Drosophila melanogaster: one gene and its partner. The gene in region 1 interacts genetically with each later gene. Each region holds a gene or a part of one and is shown in the gene's direction. Other genes may lie near its edges.

Region 1 (6,928 bases):
AATGCAAATCATAGAAGTATCCCAAAAAAGAAGAACAACCGAACCTACCCGAAAAACTGAAGAACTAACTACCTACCCACAACCACAAATGCAGCCAAGTGGCCAAATTAACTAAGTATTATACCTTAAAGCGAACGATAGATTGAACGAACGGACGAGACGAGATGAGATGAGATGAGATCAGATAGGAGGAGGAACCTTATAGATGACACGGCTTGAGATAGATGTATGTACATTTTGAAGCTCCCCCAACCAGGCTAAGTGTGCCAGAAAACACCAAAAATCGATGAAATGATTAGGAAAAGAATGCTCAAATCAAAATCTTATATTTTACGGTATTACAATGATTAGGAACGATTGAAATGAATTGGAAATGGGGGGTAAAAAAAGAAAACGATACCGACAGAGAGTATCCTGAGATTGAGCTAGGATTTCGAATGATTCGTTTCGTACTTTTACTTGATCCTTTTTTCTTAGCCGATGCGAGCAGATTGTAGCTGTACTCTAAGAATAATTTCACACTAAGATTAAGTAAAAATTTATTGTTGATATTACATAAAAAAAAAAGAAAAGGAAGACGCAGAAGTGAGATGAACACGGTCGCGTAAACCAAATGAATTAGAATTTTTCTCTAATTTCATAAGTCAATGATCATTATGATGATGATATGATACCGAGGGTAACGATGGTAAAGATGAGTTGAAAATGCTTATGATCTCCAATGTCAATATGTGTAGATTGACGCGATTTGAGCTAATTGAGTGAATTGTTATTATAATAATAAATGAAGTGAAATGAATGGATCGGCAGATCGATCGATCGTTTGGGGCGCAGAAGGCCGCGGTGTTAGTAAATATCATTTAAAATAAATGATAAAAATGTCATTATATATACATAGTTTAAACATGGGATTAATAATAATAAATTAAATGAAAAAGAACCGAAGAAACTGGAATGAGAATTAAATAAAAACGAGTAAACACTGAAATACCGAATTTTAAATACATAAGTTTTGAATCATGCATGCTGCAAAGACAAAGCAAAACCCACACAGAAACCGAAACAAAAGTAATAAAATGAACTTCTATATATGAAAAGAGAAAAATATACGAGAGATACAATTTCAACCAGCTTTTGCAATACTTTTCGGAAGCCCTTCCCCCAACGCCTCTTCCAAAAGAAAGACCCCCCCCCATATCAGCAGCAAAAAAAGACTTCAAATCAGAACCTTTTCATTTCTTAGAAGCCAGCAGCGAATTTTGCAGAAATTCCCAATGGCCATTGGAAGTCAAGGCAAATGCGACAAAGCGGATGCCCTGCAGCCATGGCTCTTTGAGCAACAGATACAGATACAGATACATTTGTATCTTGAGCTTCTAATTGAAACATTACACTCGAACTTCAAACGTTGTCGCCCAACACTTTGAGTTGACCCAAATTTGTTAGCATGTTTTCAAGGTAATGCGAATTTGATACTTTCGTTTTCGTTTTTATTTTTCGGCTTACTTTTGGTCTCATTATTAGTTTTTTTTTTGCACAAGTAGTACCAAAAGTTTTTGATTACTGGCCGCCCAGTTCTATGGGAATCTTGCGCAAGTCTGGCCCGGGTAAACTGCAATCATTTCAATCTGCCTCGATTCGGCAGCCCTCCGACTCCCCGCGCCATTGAAGAAAACTGGAAGTTGAACGACGTGCTCGGAAATATTAATAAGCGGAAAAGCTGTCCCCCCAAACGGCAGATGTCAACAATAGATATTTGTGCCAGGCCATTAGCATTAGCCATAGCCACTACCGTTGGAGGAGTAGAACTTCTGCTGGCTGCCAGTCATTGAACTGCAACTGCTGCCAGTTGCTCGGTTGGATCAGACGACACGACGCACAGCAGCAACATGTTGCTGTCGTAGCGCAACATATATTGTTGCTGCTGCTGTAGCTGCTTGAACGGATCGGCTTGTTCTCTCCGGCGATCGAGTTTTTGGTAGCCAGTTTCAGTTAGGTTTTGAGTCTTCGCGCTTGAAGGTGTGCTGCTCGCGTTTTGAGTGTAAGTGCTGCCGCAAATTCCGGCTTATAATTGCAATTGAAGGCACGTCGTCGCTCGTTTTAGTGTGTTTTAAGTCTGTTTTAGTGTTTGCCGTTCAGGGTACTTGACGACTGCCTGTGTGTGTGTGTGTGTACGTTGTTGGTTGTTGAAATCTGCGCAAACGCATGTAATTCGAACCACAGCGATCTATTCATAGATCCGTCTTATCACTTGAGGGCGCCAACCAAGCCGCCGACCTCTGACCCACAAAGCGTTAAAAATCGGAGTCTTAACGATGCTAATGCCAGCCATAAAGCCAGCCAACCAGCCTTGTGCAATGGCCCCCGGTATCAGAGCGATAAGGCTAACCAGTGGCGAGCCACAACTCTAGACCTGCGGATTTGTGTCGACTGGCATATAGAATTAGCCGGAGCTTCAAGCTTCTGCCGAAAATAAAACAAGCCGCTTCTGGCCGATGGTTACGTCAATTTCGATTCGCGTTCGAGTTCTCGTGCAGGTAAATAATACTACCACAAAAGTGGCAAAAGCAGCAGCACCTCAGCAGCAGTCAAGACAACTTTTGTTTAACACCGCTCAAGGAAACAACGCACACGGACCAAGCATAAAATTAAGCGCGATATAAACTGCAGACCTTATGCCCCACGTCTGTGCCCTTCGCCCGGGGTTTACTCCAGACTACTACCACAAAAGAGCTCATGAAATGCGCATAAAGAATCTCCAATTGACTGGGCCGCGGACAACCACGGTGGGAAGCACTGAGAGAAATGTATGCAGGTTTTTTAGGATGTCCAAGAAAAATACACATTATAAAATCTTATTGGATAAATATAGGCCAAATAACAAATCTAATAACGATTTAAATCTGATAAAAGCATAAACAATTGGAATAAGATTCCAAATAGCTCAAAAGAGGAGTTAAGAGCTGACTGATTCTTCTCTTATTCAGTTCTAGTCCTAGATAGCCACACTCTTTTCTCCCAGTGCACAGGGAGTCACAGTTGAACGAGTTGATTTTTAGTTGCCTTTGCTTTGGAGTCCGAGTGCGCGCATTGAATTTTTGATTTAATTCGTCTTCTTCATCTCGAACTCCGGTTCGCGGCTTCTTTTTTTTTTTGGGGTCTTTTGCACAAGGTTATGCGTCCGCTATTGTCAATACCCCCACCGACAAAACTAACTATCATTAAGTCACATAACACATGCCTTTCAAGCGGATCTCAAATTTTGAACCTCAAGTTTGGCAATTGTGCGACAGTTTGATTTTCTGGGTCTCGCGATGGAGAACTAAGCTCATTTGGGCATTAGTTGTTTGCCAGAAGTTGGAAGCCTTCGAAATCGTATTCTATGCCGAGTCAGAATGTTTAAATCCGTAGAGTGATTGCAATCTGTGAGGTTCATCTGTAAGGTCAAGACAGCTGATTGCAGCATTTAGCAAATATTCATGTGTTTATAAAATGTGCAAACAAATATTTCCTGGAATCGCGCCCATGGGCAGTAATATATGTACTATAGGCAAGTATAGACAAGATGCAGTAGTCAAATGTCTCTTTTTCTTTGTTCCATTCACGGCTAGTTTCATTCAGTCACTCTTCCTGCTGTTTTTTGTTTAGTTTTTGCTGCTGGACAAGTTTAGCGACGCCTACATTTTATGGTTCACGTAAATGGTTAACATTTGAGTCTCATCATGGCTGCGTTTGTGTTTTTTTTTTGTCTGGTGCTGCGCTTCAGTGCGTCGGGTCGACAGGTGTGACTCACAAACGTGGCTAACACCCGGCTAACCTCTGTGTTTTTGGCCCATCAAACACGTCGCTCGTTCTGTGATAACGGCTCGAATTAAAAGCTGCCTCGCCAAGCTGTTAGAATGTGTGTATATGTCTGGCTTGGGCCAATTTGTTTGGCTTCCTTGCCGGCCATAATGCTTGGACAGAAAAAAAAAAAAAAAAAAACAAAAACGGCATAACCGGTCCTCTGAAGTGTAGTGGGCCAACTATAGGAAAACGGTTACGAGGCATGCAAAATGTTTTTAGGAAATAATTTGCAAGTCAAAGCGACAGCCGAACCAATTTTGATGGCTATACTTTGTAGCTGCTTTTACGGCCACAGAGCCTGCGGCTAATTGCATCCACTTAAGGTGATCAGAGTGGAGCTACGCAGAGCTCCAGCTCATCATCACCACCAGCTGGTGGCCTCTACCCAAGTCGACTTGGTCGGTTCAAGTTCAGCGCCACTGAAGGTTCATGGCCAATTAGAGCGCGCTTATATTATCGCCCGTTTATGGAGTGGAAAACAAACACGGCGGCCCTGCAATTATTGCTGTTTAGTTAACCCCACTGTATCGCAACTACTGCACTGGCTATAAAATATAAACAAACCACCGAAGTAGCTTGCTGTAAAACTTTCCGGTTTTAGTCTAAGTGAGTAATGAGTTCGGATGGTATAGCGCTGTTTGTACTTGCTTGTCATCAATATGCACATTGCAATCAAGAGTTATCTAGTCACTTGAATAAATTATTGTGGGATAGATATGCCTCATTATTGTTAAATTGCGAATTTTATAAGAGATCGGAATAGGTTGCGTTTGTTTCAATCAATAATATTTTATAGCAAGGGATTATATGGATATGGAATATGGAAACGTTTGCCTAATTCAAGTGTAATCGCTTTAAATTTGCAATATAATATTTCTATTATAATCCTCTATAGATCTAACCTTGAATGCTGAGCGATGCGGTCGTGGCCTGGCCTTTTCTGGCTGCTGACCCTGGCGCTCCTGGCGGATGGAGGTCGTCGCGAGTCCCAGCTCCGGATCGGCAAGGCCATCAATATATTCCTGCGCTATGGCTACCTGGGAATCTCCATGCGTGTGATACCGCTCAATGACAACTCGGAGCCGGATCGCTGGGTGTTTAAGGAGCCCACCAAAAACATCTATAGGGTAAGGGACTTAAGGCAGAGTTAAGCTTACATTTAATAAATTAAATGGCGTTGATGAACTCGGAATTGTTTGTATTAACCTTTAACCACAATCACCATAATTATTTGGAGTATAATCAAAATTTTAAAATAGGGTTTAAAGTTGTTATCACTTAAAACTATTTTTAGTTGTAATTATATTGTTCACTTCCGCCACGTTTGTCGTTAGAATGAGCGCTTATTATATTTGTTTGATCAGATTTAGGAAAACGATCATTATATACGATTATTCAAGTATGTCACTTGATATTTATTACCTGATAATTGAGCTGACTAGACAATTAGATAATTAATGATTTTTTTCTTTCAGAATCTGAGTGGCCTGGCGGAGAGTCATGAAGACACCACGCCCGGAATCTTTCATGGAGACTTTCACATGGAGTTCTGCGAGAATCGGAGGCAACTGTTCCAGGCCTACTTCCGTGACTTTTCCATTGAGCGAATGGACAAACCGTGGGAGGCATTTACTGGCGGATGGTTTCCGGATAATGCGGCCAAGAAGCTGGGCATCAATACATCTTTCATCCAAGGCGATTACTCGTATGTTTTGGTGAGGGTGGTGCGCTTCAGGGAAACGGGGCGTCTTAACGCTGAGATTCCGGTGCACCAACCCTTGGAGCCGGATGTGCGATCGAGAATGGATCAACTGCAAATCGGAAATATAACTTCCGCAGTGCGATTTATGGAAGATGTGGGCACCCACTACGTAAACTCATACACCACCGGCAATTCGCTGTATCAGGTGTTTGTGTACAGCAGGAAGAACTACAGCATGATCAAGGAGCGAATCAAGAGTAAAGGTCTGAACGGACTGTCCAAGTTGGATCTTTACAACTACTTTGCGCCCTGGTTTGCCGCCCATCTGGGCCAGATTCGATCGGCTAGTGCCAATGCTACAGTGGAAAGATGGGCGAGAAGGAAGCTGCAGTACGAGTACTATGTGGTCAAGTATGTGACCCTGCTGAAACTGCACGGTAATAGTACTCTACTGCGATCCCTGGACTCGCTGCTCGGCAACGATGCCATACTGCAGTTGGACCTCAAGTCGCTGAAGCCCATCTTCCGGGAGGAGCCGGAAAAGGAGAGCTGGTACCACGAGGTTCTCGACAACAATGTGAAGCTCTGGGAGCTTAACATGCCGCAGAGTCATCCCACCCGATAGCTGCATTTTAAATATATATATACTGTGCGATATGTGGCAGCCAAGGATCAATAGTTCCTAGATGCTTAGTTGTAGTTAGGAACCTCTAGTGCGTAGTTAATGTTCTGCCTGTGATAGTTTTAGGTAGTTTAATTGGAACACAGTACACATCCGACTTGCATTTCAGCTAACTAGACCGTAAGATCGCCTTATTGATGTAATAGTTTTGTAAACTTTAATACAAAGTAAAGATAAAAGTAAAAATCTTACTGTTTTCATAACTTGATATTGGCTATTAAAATCTAACTGTTTTCATTACGTAATATTGGCTATGAATATCAAATACTATTTTGAAAGTTTATTTTGAATAATTGATTTTGATTAAGAACCGGTAATCGAAACGGGTAAACGGCTCTACCCGTTTCATCAAGGCTTTCAACCAGACTTATTCTAGTTTTCCACCCTTACGTATTTAGTATATGAATCAAGTATATTTTTAATACCGTGTGGTATATTTCAAACGGTTCAGTTACGCTCATACTGAAATCCGAAATAGCACGTGCGGTTTTTGTATTTTGATTTTGATTTTGGGTGATATATACTGGCATGGATATTTTTTCCAATTGTCCGGGCTTTTGCCCCTCCTGCGGCTCCATTCTGCCCGAGCTTCAAGTCAAGGGCAATGTGATTTGCTACAACTGCAAGAAGGAGTTTCAGCCAGATGGTAAATCCAGAAATTACAACTTTGTTTAATTTATTTAACACTTAAAAATAGT
Region 2 (7,774 bases), on another chromosome or scaffold:
TTATTAATACGAATACGAATGCACACAAAAAGAACAGAAAGAGTAATATTTTTCGTTTATTTTTCGATAGTCAATGTTCTCGCCATAAAACATCGAAAACATCGACGGCGACGAGCATCGATGTTTTTCCAGCTCTAGCTCTAGCTGCGTGACTCACTCGCGAGGAGAAAAGGAAGAGAAAAAGGAGAGCGAGAGTGGTGCGTAAGCGGAGCGCTTTTTGGGGAGTTTTGGCTACTGGAGAAAGAGTTTTCTCTCGCTCTTACTCTCGTCCTCTCTCTGGCAGAAGAGTATCCCATTGGGGAGGCACTCAAATCACAGACCGCCACTCCAAAAGCGCCGTTATGAGCCCGCTGATGAGCCGCAGGCATGACAATCAGCTGCTTCTGTTAACCGTTAAGCGGTAGTCCGAAATGGTTAATGGTTTAGTGTGTTGGGGGAGGGGTGACTTGGGTTTTGGCCTGTGACGCCAAACGCCAAACAACGAACGCAGAAAAAAATGCTCCCAAAACGGGTGTCGCGAATTTGCTAATTAGTCACGAAAAGCGCGACGGCAACTGCTCGAAATGGTCAACAGAAACAGGACACAACAAAAACCGAAATGAAATGAACCAAATCGGCAGCACGCAACCAGTGAGCACATCTGCTGAAACCAACAGCTGGTATTAGCCATGCACTAAGCCAACTAGAAATGGTACAAACTTAAAAGGGCATTCAGGAAAGTTACATTTTGAAAGTTTAAAACATAAAAGCCAATTTTGATCTACAAAATTTTAAGTTCACCTCAATTTAACATCCGATTGTATGTTTTGCTCTTATTTATTTTACAATTGTATATTCGTTACACTGGAATGTTGTTTGCATAACATGTCAATGCTGCGATCAATCAGATTTTGGGCAAAGTAAATATTTCAGCGGGTGTTCCCAACGGATGCCCCCAAATCCTGACCCCGAGGGCGATGACATGAATACCGTTTTCCTCTTGTACACCTATTAATACATATTTATATGTGCCTTAAATCCGATTTAACTGCAAGTACAAATGTGGCCACCTTTTAGGTTAAAGCTGCGGATTTATGGGTGACTTGGTAAGGCCCATTCCGCCCCCAAAATATTTCACATACATATGTATGTATGTGCATACATACGTACATATAAATTTATTTTTATGCGATTCCCTCTTCCGTGTTAAATGCTCTCTTCCTTTCTATCTTTTTTTTTTTGGTGGCTCGAGGTTTAATGTCTTTAATGACCTCGACTAATGATCGAAGCTGATTGATTCAGCAGAAACGTCGAAGGCACTCTCCAAGTTTGTCTGCCTTATTTTTAGATCCCCAGCCTTATATGCCCCATTCCCCACTGCCCAACCCCGTACGAAAAATTTAATTCCCAGTCCAAGGTGTCACTGCTGCAGGCGGAGAAAGCAGGACGGAGAGACGCGGATTGACTGACGAGTGCCGAGAAAATCGGGGAAAACTAATGCGACACATGGGAAAAATGCTCGTTGAGCGCACAAATGAAAGCACTTTCCGTTGCCTACATTCAGGCTGAGAACTCAAATCGGAAAACCAGGAACTACAAAAATATACATATTTCACTCTACATATAGTAACTCTGTTTATTCCACTGTAACGGAATAACAACAACTGTTCGATGAGTTTTTGTCTTTCGCGCGCTTTCCGTCACTCACAGTATTTCTTTTCATTTTACAGTTATACTAGAGCTCTCTCACGAAGTATAAATTGGTTTACAGTTACGAACAAGAGAAATGGCACACCAAAAGTAATGTGCCATGTGAATGGATTGAATATATCATTGTAGTTTAGTATCACTAGATACAACAGTCCCTGCAATCCTTGCGAAATGATTTCGCCAAGCGTGTGTGCAGCATTATTTAGTGTGTTAGTGTTAAATAGCTATATCGCCCAAGTACAAAGTGAATTATCAGCAGCAGAAGTCGCTGGAGATCCGAGTGCTGCCCAGCTGCTGCCCAGTTCCTGTCGCAATGGGTTGAATGGCAGTAGCTCTGGCCCGGAAATCCGTCTGCCCTTTGTGGACATGATGGTGCGCCATGAGAAGCCACTCTTTGTGCTCCGCGAACCGGAAGAGGATCTACTTTTACTGCTCCATGGACACGAGATTTTTCAGCTGCACGTGGCCACTGGGGAGAGGCGTCTAGTGCCGCTTGGTTACTTGGCGGGCCAGGTCAGTGGTCGCAGAGCTCTCGGAGCAGAGGTTGTGGCCTGGCGGGAGTTCCTGCTCCTTGCCATCGTTCTGGATGATTCCATGGAGGTTTACCAGTTGCCCAAGGAACTGCTCCTATCCGAAGATCCAGCCACACAGGTGAGCTTTGAGCCCCTCCAGGAGTTCTCGCTGCCAGGTGCTTTTCTACAGCTGCACCTTTTGAAACCCAGTGGAGATCAGGTGCTCCTCCTAGTGGCCTCCAATCACACCAGATCACACAGCAAATGCAGGTTGGGATTGGCATACATTTTCAATTAAAAATTGATTCATTATTCATTCATAATATTGACGACTTCCTCACAGAACCTTTGAGTGGCTGGACACCTACTTTAATCCACTCGAGGAGATCACTCTACCCGCCATTCGCGTTCTCCAAGTGGTTGGTCGTCAGCCACTTTATATCATTTTTGGTCGTTCTTTAAAGGGTTCCCAGTCAAAGGTGATATAACTTTTAATAATTTAGATGGTTCTTAATTCATTTATGTTTCCCTCTAGCTGGTGCTCACAATCTACGAGCTGGATAGAAACAGCCGAATCCTGCAACAACGCCAGGCTTTGACAGTTCAGGCGCAAAGTGTCCAAGCTGTTAGATTTCACGGGAGGAACTGCCTCATCGCCTGTACTTCCTCTGCATCTGCCTCGTGTATTTTCTTCCGAATGGTGGATGGACAATTTGTGGTGTACCGAAAGCATGCTCGAAAAGATTTGAGTTTCCGTCGATTGAGTGCCACCAAAAAGGGTCACCTTTTGATTGGTGCCCGTGCCAATGGCGAGGTGATCGTCTTCAGCTCCACTCGCCTGGATTGCTATAGTGGATTTCAGGTGGCTGGAGAAGCGGATCCAAGTGGATTACTTATTCATAAAAACTTGCACAATGAGACCTTTCTTTTGCTGGCCTATCGAAGATCCTCGAGTGATCTGATCCGAACTGTGCAATTGGGTGGCGTGGAAGAAATCTCCAACCAAGTGGGCGCTGCTCCAGATGAAGGTACATTTAATATAACTCTGTAGTGGAAATTTGAAACTAGTGATTTTACAGATCTAAGTGTTGTCCAATTGCATCGTCACGAGTTTGAGGAGTCCATCAATGCCTTACGTGGCCTCCTGCTGCGCCGTCGTTCCTCTACAGAAAACCTGAGAAACATTGTGGACATCTTAAAACGCAAATCGGCCATCCACCTCGACACGCCACTGCATCTAGTGCAGCAAGGACAAATAGGAAGACTTCAGTTGGTGGACGAACATCTGCGCACGCCCACCCAATTAAAGCAACGCTTGGAGGAACTTCGTCAACGATTTAAAGCGATCCAGACCAGGCGAACCACACGCTCTTTTGGGACAGGAAACGAGAACGATGAGCCGGAGACACTCAAAGCGCGACGATTGCGCGTGGGCAATCTTATCTACAAGGGACAGCTAATTTCAGGCAAGTATGGGAATTCAGGAATAGAATATGATATAAATCTTTTTTTTCTTCCTAATTTACAGGCCACATTTTGGATAACTCAAAACCACCTATGTTGACCATCAGAAACAGTCCTTTGCAGACGAAAAAGCTTAGGGTAAATCAATTGGTTACTCCCCAAGATTTCCGCAACTCCAGTGGTGCCCAGATTGCGCCTGAGGAAACCAGTGGCAGTGAATGTGTAGTTCGTCATCTCCGAGTGGAACAGATAAACGGAGTGCAGTGGAACGACTTTTTGGACTCGCTCTTCCTGCGCAGTCGTGACACTTCGATAGAAGGACGCTTGGTTATGCAATCGCGAGTCCGGGTGAACAGTCTAAAGACACCTCTGCTCAACGGACTCGTGGTGGATCGTCTCTTTAATCTGCGGCGTGCCCAGGTGATCAGTTCGAATATCTACATGTCCGCCTTCTTTGCTCCGCGTTTGGAGGCTCAGCAAGTAAATGGACTTGACTTTGCCCACGATGTACTTCATCGCGGTAGCAATGATACATGGATAAAAAGTTAGTGTCCTCCTTGATATATTCCATTAAATCATTTAACAAATCCATATTTTTCAGCTCCTGTTCGCATCAATCAGATGAGTGTTTCGGGTGACATTTTTGTGGGCAATACGAGCAAGTGGCAGCCACAGCCCAGACAACTCGACGATCCAATGGAACAACGTCTTCAACAGTACTACACGGGCAGGGTAACCATCCGCGGATCCCTGACGGTCACAAATGTCCTGCGAGACACGGCAAACTCACTTATAGTGCTCGGAAACCAATCTCTCGCCAGAAAAGATATACAATCTACGTACCTTCTTGATCAGACGCCACAGGTTGAGATTCAACTTCATTTAATTCACTTTAATGACAATAGTCTTTCCGCAGAACCTCACTAACTTGACCTTTGGACATGCCAGAGTTAGTGTTCCCTCAATGACCACCAGTTATGTTGACGGTCATCCTGTGAGGGATCATCTCCTAAGCGGAGGACAGCAGAACCAACATACTCACCCAAATAACACTCTACACATTATCTTTATGAATGCAACCATACTGGGCGATGTTATTTGCAGGGATTACAGTTCCCGTTTGGCGGAGATCGCAAAAGATGCAGTGAGTCATGGAGACGCTGTTAATATCACGGGGCACAAACACTTCCAGGCACCTTTGACTGTTCAAGCACTTCAAGCCAATGAAATAAACGGAGTACCTGTTAGTGAAATAGTGGTGAAATCAAACACCACCCAAAACTTTACGGGTACAAAGACCTTTGCCCGTGTGGTGGTGGCGAATGATATCAACGTTCATGATCATTTGAATGTGAGTCATCTTAATGGATTGCCATTGCAACAGCTGCTTGGTCACGATATCAGCCTGCAACGCCTCGAACTAACCGAAACCCCACATCTGGAGAATCTTCATTTTCGGCGACTTAATGGATTGCCCTTCGATGAACTGCTGTCCAAAATTTCGGAAGATGGTGAACAGCCCCTACTTCTTCACAAGCAACTATTGATCGAAGGAAATGTACGATTTGACAAGGCTGTCCAAGTGCAGAACATTAATGGAATCCAATGGGACGAGTACCTAGATCGCCTGGTGAGATCTGATTCTAACGCGGAAATACGGGGTAAAAAGACATTCATGGCCGATGTCCAAATAAATGATGCCCTGCAAAGTCCTCACATCAATAATTTGGATCTAAGTTCCCTGCTCGACAACACCTTACTGCGAATGACACCCCAGCAAATCAGTGGTGCTTACACTTTCGACCGCATGATGGCCACCAATGTGGATGTAAATCGAATAAATGGGGTACCCAAGGAGGAATTTATAGACACACGCAAAGACTTAGAACTAAAAGGAGATCTTTACCTAAAGCAACTGAACATCAATGGCAGCCTAAAGTGTCCCTTTGTCAATGAGGCAGTTTTAAATGATCTCAAGCAACGAGTGGAGCAAGTGCAGCAACTTCCCTGGCGGAATTTGATAGTCACCGGCGATGCTCTATGGGATGGTGAAGAGCAGTCCCAATCCCAGCTAGACTACCTACGCCAGCATGCAGTCAGGAGAGTGGGCAACCAGACCATTGCCGGACACGTTCTACTGAAGGAACCCTACTTAAAGGATATCCAAAGTAAGCATTCCCTGCCAATTGATCTTAACTTCACTCAATTGGCCGAAGATGCCCTACTTCGCCGGAGCCCCACAAACGAAACCCAGGTGATAACAGCTCCGCAAGAGCTACAGGGATTAGTTAGAGCTAATACTCTACACTTGGAGCAGGATGCACACTTTGAGCTGGTAAACGGAATCGATATACGACGATTCAATGCCTCACTGTACCGCCTCTCCAGTGGAGAAGCCATTGCAGCGGATCTTCACTTTCATCAGGCTCCAAAAATAGGCAAACTTCAACTGGAGTATCCAGAAGTGAATGGAGCTCCGATACAAAGTATATACCAGCAGGGCAAGGGGCAATCCTGGCCACCCGTAACGTTCAAGAACCTCTTTGTCGAACAGGACCTGAATCTGAAAACCGTAAACAACATGAATCTGGACTACTTTCTACAACATCGCATTCCCTTAAAGGGAGACGCATTGGAGGTATTCGGTTCACTGACTTTTGAGCACCTTCAGCTGAGTGGAAAGCCTCTTCTACGTTCTATCAATGGCATTCAATTGGATAACTTGGTGTTTCGGCATAGCAATCGGACGCAGAGCATCACGGGTGCCAAGACTTTTCGTGGAGGAGTGGAGTTCACTGGACCCGGTCATGTGATGAATCTGAATGGACGTGAGCTTAGCGAAAGTTTCAGGGGCAGCATCTTTCGAAATAAGGACTACAACATCGATAGTCTAGTTCTGGACAAAGCTCTCTTCCCAGGTGGACTAGTTTTAGCAGGACTTCAAAGTCAAATTCCCAATCGAATGCGAGCGACGGAAGTGCAAAGCAATCCGTTAGAGGAGTTTCAAGAACTTCTAGCATTGGGTAATCAAACTTCGCCTAGGAGGCTACTTTACCTGGATCACGACACCGAAAGTCTGGAGTCTACTTGGGTAAAAGGCCCTTTTAGGGGATCTTCGGAACTGCAGGTGAGCCTGCCCTTGGGTTATTCTGCTCCATGTCAGCGTAGGACTTTACAAGCCAAGCTCCTGATCCACGAACGTCGCGTCCTCCTGGCCAACTCGAGTGTGTCCAATCAACTGATGAGACTTCACTCCGGAGATATCCGGGTGAAGGTGCAGAACCACTGTCATCGCCCAGCACGAAGATTGCGCAGCAGGATCAGAATTAGTTGCCGTAATGAAACGCATACGCTGGGAATGCGTCAATCAGTGGAAGCCATGGAACTGCTGGAAATGGGGGAAATGGTGCTGCTGCTCTTGGGCACCGAGGAGGAAGTTCGTGTCCTGCGTCTGAAGAGGAGCAACTGTAGTCTCACCGATTGGCAATCCGTGCTACCAGCAGATGGGCGCCTTATGAAGTTGGTTCGAATGGGGGTAGAGTCCCGACAGGATCTAATACTCACCAGTGGCATGAGTAATCATCGTCCTGTCCTGGCCATCCATTATAGGGATCCCTTAAATCATAACTTCAAAATGCTTCAGCTGATCCAGGGCTCATATGACCTGGCAGAGATGCAGGGAAACCAACTTCTGGTCAGCTGTTTGGGTTGTCGACACATAGCTATCTTTAAACGGTACTCTCATTCCGCGGAAATTCTGTTTGAGCCCATCCAGCAGTTGAGCTTCCAGGAGCGCATTCAACAACTAACTCCATTCAAAGTTGGAAATGAGCAATATCTATTGGTAGTAACGCAGCCGGAGGAAGAACACTTTTACCTCTTCAGCTATAATGAAGTAGGCGGTTGGCAACAGCGTACGTTTGGCATTAAGAAACAGGACCAGTGGGCGTGGTCACTGGTGAAATCTGGTCAAATGCTTGAAGCCGCCGAGACCCCTATTCTGCTGCTCTGCGGAAAGAAACGGGAATGTAGTCTAGTGAAAGCCCTACTGGGCTAAAATCTGTATCATATTGTAATCTATGTGTATTTGTACTGTACATAATTATGTT

Evidence for each region.
Region 2: of tsl (region 1) and fs(1)M3, changing one suppresses a phenotype caused by changing the other (phenotypic suppression), as found in Drosophila melanogaster (one study listed by BioGRID).

The regions. Positions count from the first base shown.
Region 1 is NT_033777.3:21,777,597-21,784,524, reverse strand, and holds tsl (torso-like), read left to right. Parts: upstream 1-1,988; 5' UTR 1,989-2,041; exon of another isoform or gene 2,042-2,537; intron 2,538-2,619; exon of another isoform or gene 2,620-2,807; intron 2,808-4,741; 5' UTR 4,742-4,763; coding exon 4,764-4,973; intron 4,974-5,321; coding exon 5,322-6,173; 3' UTR 6,174-6,411; downstream 6,412-6,928. Other genes in the region: Polr1H (RNA polymerase I subunit H), read left to right, coding at 6,759-6,876, 6,928-6,928.
Region 2 is NC_004354.4:5,958,244-5,966,017, reverse strand, and holds the start of fs(1)M3 (female sterile (1) M3), read left to right. Parts: upstream 1-1,770; 5' UTR 1,771-1,860; coding exon 1,861-2,471; intron 2,472-2,544; coding exon 2,545-2,680; intron 2,681-2,736; coding exon 2,737-3,229; intron 3,230-3,280; coding exon 3,281-3,667; intron 3,668-3,729; coding exon 3,730-4,209; intron 4,210-4,266; coding exon 4,267-4,529; intron 4,530-4,581; coding exon 4,582-7,722; 3' UTR 7,723-7,774.